Macaca fascicularis: one gene and its partner. The protein of the gene in region 1 interacts with the protein of each later gene in a biochemical or structural test. Links are inferred from orthologs where the notes say so. Each region holds a gene or a part of one and is shown in the gene's direction. Other genes may lie near its edges.

Region 1 (7,197 bases):
CTCAGGAGACTGAGGCACAAGAATCACTTGAACCCGGGAGGTGGAGGTTGCAGTAAGCCGAGATCTCACCTCTGCACTCCAGCCTGGGCAACAGAGCAAGACTGTCTCAAAAAAAAAAAAAAAAAAAAATTTTTTTTGTAGAGACAAGATCTCACTATGTTGACCAGGTTTATCTCAAACTCCTGCCCTCAAGTGATCCTCCTCTGCCTCCCAAAGTGTTAGGATTACAAGCGTGAGCCACTGTGTCCTGCCTACAGTGATGTTCTAATGGCAATTTTTCTTTTCCTTACTTTTTCTACATTTAATAATTGGAATTCTCCTGTAAGGAAGAGCTGTTCCTTCTCTCCCATTGATTTATTTATTTGGTTATGTCTGAAATAGACTCATGGATATTTTATTCTTTGGGCTATATTTTAAAGGATTACTTATTTCTCTGTTTTCATTTATTTTTTTTAATTTGAGACAGGGTCTTGCTCTGTTTCCCAGGCTGGAACACAGTGGCACAGTTGTACCTCACTGTAGCTTTGACCTCCTGGGCTCAAGTGATCCTCCACCCTCAGCCTCCCAAGTAATTGGGACTGTAGGCACGTGCCACGTCTGACCAATTTTTAAATTTTTTGTAGAGATGAGGTCTTGCCCTGTTGCGCACACTGGTCTCGAACTCTTGAGCTTAAGTGATCCTCCTGCCTCAGCCTCCTACTTTTTGTCTTTCAGTTTTAATTTTTCATATAGCATTTTAAAAACTTAAGGAAATTTTCAGTTACCCAAAGGTGGAGAGAACTGTATGATGAGTCCCATGTTTCATCTATTTTTACTACTTATCAACATTTGGACAGACTTTTTTTATTTATTCCAGCCTCTGCCTTTTTTGTTACTGGAGTTTAAAAAAATTATTATTTACTATTTATTATTATTTATTATTTATTTGAGACAGTCTTGCTTTTTTGCCCAGGCTGTAGTGCAGTGGCAAGATCATGACTTAGAGCAGCCTCCACCTCCTGCGTTCAAGTGACTCTCCCACCTCAGCTTCCCAAGTAGCTGGGACAGCATGTCCAGCTAGTTTCTGTATTTTTAGTAGAGACAGGGTTTTGCCATGTTGCTCAGGCTGGTCTCAAACTCCTGAGCTCAGTCTACCTGCCTTGGCCTCTCAGTGTTGGGATTACAGGTGTGAGCCACTAGGCCTGGCCTTGCTGGAGTGTTTAAAGCAAATCCCTAATATCTTATTATTTCATACCTAAGTCCCTATCATGGCATTGTTTTTTAATTGAAAACTTAAACATTTTATATTATGCAAGGAGAATTACCACATGTTGGTGGGGGAATAAATAAATAAGGAAAAAGACAACAAAAATAATCTGTGTTTCTACTGCCCAGATATAATCAGCGTTAAAATTTCATGTATCTTTTCAAGCTTTTTTTGGTTATAAATAAGCATATAAAGCAAATTTTGGGGTGGAAAAAAATTTCTTGTGTTTTTATTTAAATGCCAACTGAATCCATTCTGTGGATGAACTGAACTACTCAGCCCTTCCATCTGCCTGGATGCTGAAGATGCTTTTAATTCTTTGCTCGAAGCTGGGCAGCTCTGAGCTGCTGTTGCCTTCAAGCTGTTTGCCTGAGTGGCAGGTCGTATCCTGCAGGGCCACATCGTTGGGTCAGAGGCCAGAGCATCTGAAGATCTGTTGCCTCACAGTGAGCACTTGTGCCTGTCACCTGAGCATGGCAGCTGCTGCTCTAATAACCAGGCACTGACTCAGTTTCCCCAAAGCAATGGTAGCTAAGAGAATTTTTCTTTTGGAAGAGTTTCAGCTGTGGCAGGGGAGTCCTATGCCCTTCCCAACGCCCCTGTTTTTGTCACCTTTCTAGGCTTGGAGAACCCCCTGCCTGAGCGTACCCGGGAAAAGGAAGAACCAGTGGTTCGAGAGACAGGTGAGGTGGTCGACTGCCACCTCAGTGACATGCTGCAGCAGCTGCACAGTGTCAATGCCTCCAAGCCCTCGGAGCGCGGGCTGGTCAGGCAAGGTGGGTACTGCGGGGCCCTGGGCGGGGCAGGATTGCTTGGGGCATCTGGAGAAGGCAGGAGGAGCCTTGGCCAACAAAGCACTGGTGACTTGTCCAGGCCCCGTCTCCATAGGACCATTGGTTTCCCCATTTCCTGATATCCGAGGCCCTGCTTGCTGTGGCTCCTGCCTTCTTTTCTGATCCGTCTCTTACTCTAGCACCTCGATGTGCCACCTTCACACGCTGTTTCTTTTGCTCAGTAAGTTCCTGTTGTTTCTTCAAGACCCTTGAAATAACAGACCCAGACGTACTGCAGCCTCAGGGCTTTCTCCCTGGCCCTGGCATGAAAGCACTTCTTCCAGACACCACATGGCTCACACTGTGGCCTCCTTCAAGTGTCTGCTCCGGTGTCACCTCCGTGAGCATCTCCCTGGCCCCTCTGCTGGTGCTTCGCATCCCCTTACCCACTGCATAGTTTTCCATAACACTTCTCACCCAACATAGTCCAACACGTCCTTCTTCTTTGATTGGATTTAAAGTAAGGTGTTTGTTGCATGCACTGAATATAACATTTTCATGTGTTTGCAGCCGGCGTCTGTCTTCACAGTTTCCTAATTACTCCAAACTGGAAAACTAGATGTCTCTGACTCTTACCATGATAGAAGTCACTGGTATTTTGCCCATACTTAATTTGATTAGTCTTTGCCCCTGCAACCACAGTGTAAGCTCTGTGGAGGCTGGGGTTTTGTCTGTTGCTCACTGTACCTGCAACAGTGCCTGGCACGGTAGGCCTTCAGTAAATGGGTCAGTGGAATGAAGGAGTGAGTGGAACTTGGTGCGCTGTGTTGAAACTTTCTGTGTAGAGATGTCTATGCTGCTGCTTGTCTGAGCCTGTTGGCAGCAGAGGCCCTGCTTTGCTCTTCTCTGGGGCCCTAGGCCTCTCAACTGAGCCCAGGTGGTGTGCCCAGCAGGCTTCCTTGTTCCCTGGTGTGGGCCACATGTGTGGACCAGAGAAGAAGAGGCTGGTCCTGACCAACTGTCTGTCTGTTTCTGTCTTAGAGGAGGCTGAGGATCCTGCCTGCATCCCCATCTTCTGGGTCAGCAAGTGGGTGGACTATTCGGACAAGTACGGCCTTGGTAGGTTTCTTCCAGAACCAGGTGGGTGACTCAGGCACAGCCAGGTAACCTTTTCAGTTGTTACAGGCTCTGGCCTTTTTGAGCTCCCAGGTACTCTTAGTGCCCTCCTTTCTCCATCCCAGGCCTCCCAATTCCAGCTCCCAGTGCTCCCCGACTCCCCAGCCTTTTTCCCCCACTGCCCAGAGACAGGGTCCTACTCTGTCGCCCAGGCTGGAGTGCAGTGGCACAGTCATGACTCACTACAGCCTCAAACTTCCAGGCTTATGCCTGGCTGCAGGCTCAGCCTCCTAAGTAGCTGGGACTACAGGCATGCACCATCACGCTCAGCTAATTTTTAAAATAGTTTGTAGAGATGAGGTCTCATTACATTGCCCAGACTGGTCTCAAACTCCTAGGCTCAAACAATCCTCCCCCCTCAGCCTCCCAAAGTGCTGGAATCACAGGCATCTGCCACCGCACCCAGCCCCACTCCCCACTTTCTATTCCCCCTTTCTGAGACCTCTCTCCACTGATCCCTAGGGTATCAGCTCTGTGATAACAGCGTGGGGGTGCTCTTCAATGACTCAACACGCCTCATCCTCTACAACGATGGTGACAGCCTGCAGTACATAGAGCGTGACGGCACCGAGTCCTACCTCACCGTGAGTTCCCATCCCAACTCCTTGATGAAGAAGGTAAGTGCCGTCCGGCTATTGCGGGAGTGGGACCTGTGCTGGAGGGCGAGACTCTAATTCTGGAACCCCTCACTTACTTTTCATCCAGATCACCCTCCTTAAATATTTCCGCAATTACATGAGTGAGCATTTGCTGAAGGCAGGTGCCAACATCACGCCGCGTGAAGGTGATGAGCTCGCCCGGCTGCCCTACCTGCGGACCTGGTTCCGCACCCGCAGTGCCATCATCCTGCACCTCAGCAATGGCAGCGTGCAGATCAACTTCTTCCAGGTGAGCTGGATGTCACCAGGGGCAGGAGAGAGCTGGGGTAGGCTCCACGTGCTTGGCAGTGGCCCATGTGAGTTGAGTATGGAGTGAATGGCTCAGGTACCTATAACCTGTTGTGTCTTCCCTCTACTCCCTAACATACACTGGCCTCTGGGATCAGCAATCCCTGCCCCTCTTCTCTTGCAGGATCACACCAAGCTCATCTTGTGCCCACTGATGGCAGCCGTGACCTACATCGATGAGAAGCGGGACTTCCGCACGTACCGCCTGAGTCTCCTGGAGGAGTACGGCTGCTGCAAGGAGCTGGCCAGCCGGCTCCGCTATGCCCGCACTATGGTGGACAAGCTGCTGAGCTCACGCTCGGCCAGCAACCGCCTCAAGGCCTCCTAATAGCTGCCCTCCCCTCCGGACTGGTGCCCTCCTCACTCCCACCAGCATCTGGGGCCCATACTGGTTGGCTCCTGCGGTGCCATGTCTGCAGTGTGCCCCCCAGCCCCGGTGGCTGGGCAGAGCTGCATCATCCTTGCAGGTGGGGGTTGCTGTGTAAGTTATTTTTGTACATGTTCGGGTGTGGGTTCTACAGCCTCGTCCCCTCCCCCTCAACCCCACCATATGAATTGTACAGAATATTTCTATTGAGTTCGGAACTGTCCTTTCCTTGGCTTTATACACATTAAACAGATGTGAATCTTCTTTTTCTTGTATTTCCTGAGGGGTGCCAGGGCCTGGGATCCAGGGAACATCTCTGCTTCATCAGCCCCAGGCTGCCCAGCCTCTGCCAGTCTTGTGGGGGGTAGGGGGTGACAGTGTCTGTGGACCAGACTGGAGTGCAGTGGCATGATCCTGGCTCTCTGCAGCCTGGAACTCCTGGGCTCAAGCGATTCTCCCACCTTAGCCTCCCAAGCAGCTGGGACTACAGGCGTGCGCCACCATGCCTGGCTAATTTTTCAAATGTTTTGTAGAGGTGGGGTCTTGCCATGTTGGCCAGGCTGGTCTGGAATTCCTGAGCTCAAGTGATCCTCTCACCTCAGCCTCCCAAAATGCTGGTATTATAGGCGTGAGCCACTGCACCCAGCCTGGCAGTCTTTTCTGATTCTGATTCTGAGGCCAGCCACAGGCTCAGCTCTTCAGCTAGCCAGCATGGAGACCATTTGTGTGGCCTCCGGCCCACCTCACCTCCCTGCAGCCCCAGGGCACGACCCCCTGGCCTCTGAGTCTGGTGGGTAGTAGGGCAGGAAGAGGCTCTCAGAGGCGCAACTCCTCATGACTCGGTGCGTGTGGAGGAGCAGCTGTGGGAAGCGGTTTGTGAAGTACTGGACGAAGCCGTCAGGGACTTGGCCAAGTGCCTGTTGCACCTCAACTGGGAGCTCCCTGTAGTGGTGCTTCTGGGGGTAGGTAGAGCAAGAGAACCCTGGCTCAGCTGCAGCCGTGCTTCCCCAAGACCCAGGCCCACCCAGGCCCCAACACATACCTTGTTCCTCACAGCACGGAGCAGGTCTCGCACTGATGTCCCCTTATAGGACCGGAACTTTCTCAGGTCTGTGGACAGGGAATTCAGTGTCCTGAAACTGTCCCTGCTGGGCTCCCCTCCACCACCCAGGCCCACCTGAGTGTAGCCTCTACCTGTCTGCAGTGGCATGGAGATGTGCTCGTGCCAGTTGTCCCGGACCACCGCGCAGCCTCCTGCCTCCAGTGCCCTCATCAGGGGCTCCTGCTCAGACTCCTTCTCCAGCCAGTCACTGACATCCTGAGGCCCCAGAGAGCTCCTGAGCCTTGTGACCGGGGCCAGATGCCACATAGCCAGGAGTGTGTTGTCTGACTTAGGGGAGTGATTTAGGGTGACTGACAAGGATCATTGCCTCTGGGGGCGTGAAGCTTCTCTATGCCACGCCTCTGTTATTTACCACCAACCTATGAGCTTGGTACTGCTGTCCCCTTTCTACAGATGAGCAAACTGCAGTTCAGAGGCACGAAGTCTCTTGCTCAAGTTCACACAAGTGCAGTGGGCTACTGGCACAGCATGAGTGACGACTCAGGTGGAAAGGAATGGGCTATATTCCCATACAAAGGGTAGCTGGGGCTGGCGAAGCTGGCAGTGAGTGGACCGGAGAGTGCCAAGATGGTGGAGTTTAGGAGTCCAGGCTGGGTCCCAGTTTAGGGAAAGAGCCAGGTTGCCAGGACCAGGTAGCTCTTCCTGTTTTCCCTCAGCCAATCTAATATCCCATTTCTAATTGCCCAGGACCCAAACTTAGGACTTTTGGGGACCATTCCCAAGCTTTCCTTCTGACCTGGAAGAACTGGAGTTGCTTGGCTCTGCTCCAAAAGAAGGGGTGGGCCAGCACCTGGGGGGCAGAGGGGCGTGCCTGTGGCAGCAGGCTCAACATGGCTGCAACCAGGTCCCGGGCAACCACCTTGTCTGGAGGATGGAAGAGGAAGAGAAAAGTCTGCTTCAGGCCTGCCTAGTGTCTTGCCCTTCCTCCCTTCTCTGCCCAGCCCAGGGCTCCCTCACCATGGACCTCTTCCTCCAGGTGAGCCAGACAGGGAACCCCTGTGAGGATGTTTGCCTGGCGATAAAGACTGTCTCCAAAGGGGTGGCTGCCACCAGAAAGCACGTAGTAGAACACGCAGCCTGCAGAGAAGATGTCCACGGCGCTGGTCTGGGACAAGAGAGATGGGCGTAAGAAGGAAATCTCTGCTTCCAGGAAGTCGGCCTGGCTAAATTCTCCCATGGGCTGATAGAGCAGCCAGGGGTTTGGTTCAGACTGGAACTCAAGAAGCTTCCTGAGCAGCATCTCCTTGGCTCTAGATGCTCCCTGCCCACACACACACACACCACTATAGGGGTCCCATGGTTTTCATCCAAAACCTTTGCCCCTGCTGAGCTAGTTCAGGTTTCCAAGCTTCATTCCTGCAGGGTGTAGGCAGGTAACATATGTGGGTGCCAGACATGAGGCAATAAGGCAATCAGGAGGACTGTGGTGACCTGGCATGGGTTCTGTCTGCAGGGGCACCTGGTCCTTAGCTCCAACCCATTGTCACCAGGGGACTCTCCAGGGTGGCAGAGCTGATTTTGTTTTTTTTGAGTTGGGGCCTTGCTCATGTTGCCCAGGCTAGAGT
Region 2 (4,299 bases), on another chromosome or scaffold:
AATTTCAGTAGAGACTTGGGGTAAGGTAATTTAAATTATTTTTACTTGATTCTATGAGAAGTTGTTATGCAAATAATTTATTTTTGTAATTACCATAACAAAAACCATTTCTAGCAGAATATTTCAAGGCCATTTTTGTTTCATGTCATTTGGGTAATAAAGTTAACTCTGCAATGTGTTTATCTATAATAGGTAATTAGATATAGATGACTACTTTGTACTGATTATTAAATTTAGATATTCAGAAAGACACAAATAGTAAATTTATTTGGGTTCAAAATATGCCTTGTTTATTAACACATTTAGATTCTAAAATTTGTAGACTGAAGCAATATATATAAATGTCAACATAGTATGTTGATTAATATGTGAACCAATAGCATGTGTGACCTGATTTTTTTTCTAATGATTTCTCTGGAAACCATTTTCCCGGTACATGTGAATGTCCATATTTCTGGGTGCTTGCAACTTAATGAAACTAAAGAAATCAAATATAAGACATGTCAATATTTTGATTCTATCCAATTCAATCATCTTCATGCATTTATGTCATGAATATTCCAATGTAGCAAAACATGAAGTTATGACTAGATTATTTTTAAAAATAATTGAAGGAGATGAATAGCTTTTACATAACATGCAGACAGGATTTTTCATGAAGACTCTAAAAGAAAAGAATGCTCTCAAATAGATTTAAAAGAGAAACTCATTTTCAAAAATTTTCAATCAAATTAAATTCCAGTTCTCAGTGGATTTTACTTTATTGCTCACTTTAGAAAATCTGATTTGTGATCTAGGAGGAAAAGTGTTTTCTTTTTTCAATTGTATTTCAAAATTAGCACTTCTCTGTTTCTCTAAGCCCATATTATTACATTAAGGACAAAATGTCATGTTTTAAAGAGTTAGTGAAGAAAAATGTTTGTACGAAATAAGTATTTCTGAATAATATAAGAACTATGACTAGAATGATAAACATTGATATTGAGTAGTAAGGTTTTTAAAATCTTAAGTTTATAAAAATTCACGTTACAGCTCCTCAAATCAGCCTATTTTATCATCATTTGCTCCTTTGTTGAAAAATCAAGGGTTTTTTTTTTTCAGGAAATAAATTTAATATAATATGCTATCTTCAAACCACACTGAAGGATGGTGTTAACAGTTTCTAATTCTCCATACACCTTTCTAATTTTCCAGTACCTTTAAACTAAGGAATGAGTCATCTCATTAACTTACCATTCTCTACATCACAATAACAATGTTTTTAGATATGGTGTAATCTCCTGTGGTTTCTAAGGAACCACTCTGATCACCTGGTTTATGGCTATCCTTTCAATTGGTAATTCAACACAAGTTTTATGTGTAATTTTATATTGATAATGGAAAACAAGTTGAGATGATTAATAAAGTGTAAAAGCAACTTTATGTAAGCCATGAAATAAATAAATAAATAAATAAAAATAATACTATCTAACTCTTTCTTTTTTTGTCCTCTTACATAGGCTTTTATCACCATGAAGCTTCTCATTCTCACTTGTCTTGTGGCTGTTGCTCTTGCCAGGCCTGTAAGTTCAGTAGAGAATTTAGAAAGATTTAGATTCTTGTTAGAAATGACCTAACACTTCATCAAATATGGGATACCCAGAGGAATAATCTTCAAGCACTGCATGATCTCTAGTTGGCCTCTGAAGGCTTGACAATAGAAATACAGTAATGCTTCCCATTTTCATCATTGTTATACAGTCCACTGAGAGCCATAACTCTGAATAAAATGTCTGGCTTGAATTATAAGCACCCCACAATAAAAAAGAGCTAAAAATTTAAAAGTAAGAAAAAGAATAAGGTAGTGCACAACATAATAAGTAGCATCAAACAATGTGATTAGGCCTGTTCCTTGAGTCTACTACAAAATTCTCATGTTTCTAAAAATGTAATAGTAATCCAACATTTCTTTACCAAATATAACACAAAGCCACATATTCCAATGTATCCTACTTTTGGAATCAAAATCAAACCCTCATCTGAGATGGCTTGTGTCAACTTTTCTTCCCCCCACAAGGGATAGAAACCTGGGGTGATTCAGCTGATTGAGTGATCAATTTATTGTGGTCACTGTAAACAATGTAAATAATGAAATTAGATAATGTATATTAAAATTACCTTTCTTCTCAAAAAGAGTGTTTATATCAATTAGATAGGGATGTGAACCAAAAAGTTTCTCTATTCTCTTGTTATGTGTAGTTAATGAATGAGAAGAATAAACACCTGACTGAAAAAAACATCAGTTTAGAGGGATGATTGGAGATATTTGGACACTGAAATTATCTCATACAGAAGCAAAATTTCTGAAATGCAGATATAGTCTGTTGTTTGCACTGACAGACTTGTTCTCTAAATTCCCCTTTGGAAACTGCAGAATCAATCATTGTCAACTTCTGAACCAATAGTCTTTGTTTATGCTATAATCTAAGCATCAATAGAAAGAAATCTCTGCTTGCAAGTTACCAAAACAATGATACATCTTCCTCAGGAATGAACCATCTGAGCAGTTCTTATCTTGTCATTTTACCAGGAAGTGGGGAAAAGCAGCCCAGAAAATAGATGCTACACTTTTATTCCAAAGGAAACAATAGAGTTATGTGTTTGTTTGTTTATGTCACTGTTTAACATGAAGTCTATGCAGATTGAGATCAATTGTCATATAATTTAAGTGATGATAAAAATAAAACCTAGACAATATACCCAAAGGATTATAAATCATGCTACACCCAAAGGATTGTAAATCATGCTGCTATAAAGACACATGCACATGTATGTTTATTGAGGCACTATTCACTATAGCAAAGACTTGGAACCAACCTAAATGTCCATCAATGATAGACTGGATTAAGAAAATGTGGCACATACACACCATGGAATACTATGCAGTCATAAAAATGGATGAGTTCATGTCCTTTGTAGGGACATGGATGAAGCTGGAAACCATCATTCTCAGCAAACTATGGCAAGGACAAAAAACCAAACACCGCATGTTCTCACTCATAGGTGGGAATTGAACAATAAGAACACTTGGACAGGGGAAGGGGAACATCACACACTGGGGCCTGTTGTGGGGTGGGGGCAGCGAGGAGGGATAGCGTTAGGAGATATACCTAATGTAAATGACGAGTTAATGGGTGCAGCACACCAGCATGGCACATGTATACATATGTGACGAACCTTCATGTAGTGCACATGTACCCTAGAACTTAAAGTATATAAAAATAAAAAATAAAAATAAAACCCAAACATTTGAATTAGGAAATTATAATTTGACCAACATTTTTTTATACTAGTTTAAAATCATCTTTAGAATTTTGGTGTAATATAAATAATTCAGAAAACTAAATAAATTGTTTATTATTCTAACCCAGAATTATAAATTCTAACCCAGAATTTTTCTTTTTAAAAGATGTTTTACATAGTTTTCTCAACTCCCAGCCACAATCTAAAGAAAGGAAATGATTATTTTCCTTTGATATTTGTCTATAAGATAATTATGATTTCTTTTTTTCCACTGTATTCCCAGAGAAACTTGGTCTCTGACAAATATTGTTATTAAAACACATACCTTTTGGAAATAGCAGTGTCAAAAATCATCATATGTGTATTATTATATTGTTACTGTCATTTTAGTTACTTTTTGTTTTACAATTCTTGCATTGTTTTTCACAGAAACTTCCTCTTAGATACCCAGAACTCCTTCAGGTAAATACTCTATTCTGCATTCCAAGAACTCACTCTAATTGTGAAGTGTATACTCCAAATGTGCTCTTCCTTTCTCTATGAAACAGCCTGTTTCACTTTTGCTGACGCACCATTTCTTTAGTTCAAGCACTGCCAGACGTAATTTGCTCTCACAAACTTAGAGGACGACACACAGACTTAGAAAAAAAAAATAATAATAAAGGTCTTATTTTTATCCAAGAGAAGTAGTTAATTAAACAGAATCTGTTGACGTGCTTATTTTAATGTATTCTTGCTTTTTTTCATTGTTACACATATTCAAGCCTGTGATTTACAGTTTGGTCTCATTAGAGATGTTGAATCTTGAATTAGTTACCTCTATCACAACTTTCTATGAGCACAACTAATCCTACATTCTGTACTGCAATTGGAATAATACCATTTTAAACTTACTATTTTTTACAGAATCCATCAGAGAGCAGTGAGGTAAGCTCTGTTTATGAGGAGTCAAGATTCTCTCTTCCTTTTGCTCTCTTTCAGTTTGCTATCATGCATGTTGATTGTCTTCTTCTTTAC

Evidence for each region.
Region 2: of the proteins of PLK1 (region 1) and CSN1S1, one has a biochemical effect on the other in vitro, tested with the Homo sapiens proteins (2 studies listed by BioGRID). The link is inferred for Macaca fascicularis from reciprocal best matches to the Homo sapiens genes PLK1 and CSN1S1.

Annotation. Positions count from the first base shown.
Region 1 is NC_088394.1:22,756,248-22,763,444, forward strand, and holds the end of PLK1 (serine/threonine-protein kinase PLK1), read left to right. Parts: intron 1-1,866; coding exon 1,867-2,022; intron 2,023-3,060; coding exon 3,061-3,138; intron 3,139-3,657; coding exon 3,658-3,812; intron 3,813-3,900; coding exon 3,901-4,083; intron 4,084-4,266; coding exon 4,267-4,470; 3' UTR 4,471-4,773; downstream 4,774-7,197. Other genes in the region: ERN2 (serine/threonine-protein kinase/endoribonuclease IRE2), read right to left, coding at 5,253-5,465, 5,552-5,619, 5,704-5,827, 6,369-6,496, 6,590-6,737. UniProt on the Homo sapiens protein: Serine/threonine-protein kinase that performs several important functions throughout M phase of the cell cycle, including the regulation of centrosome maturation and spindle assembly, the removal of cohesins from chromosome arms, the inactivation of anaphase-promoting complex/cyclosome (APC/C) inhibitors, and the regulation of mitotic exit and cytokinesis.
Region 2 is NC_088379.1:64,019,592-64,023,890, reverse strand, and holds the start of CSN1S1 (alpha-S1-casein), read left to right. Parts: upstream 1-1,499; 5' UTR 1,500-1,511; coding exon 1,512-1,562; intron 1,563-3,711; coding exon 3,712-3,744; intron 3,745-4,188; coding exon 4,189-4,209; intron 4,210-4,299. UniProt on the Homo sapiens protein: Important role in the capacity of milk to transport calcium phosphate. Casoxin D acts as opioid antagonist and has vasorelaxing activity mediated by bradykinin B1 receptors.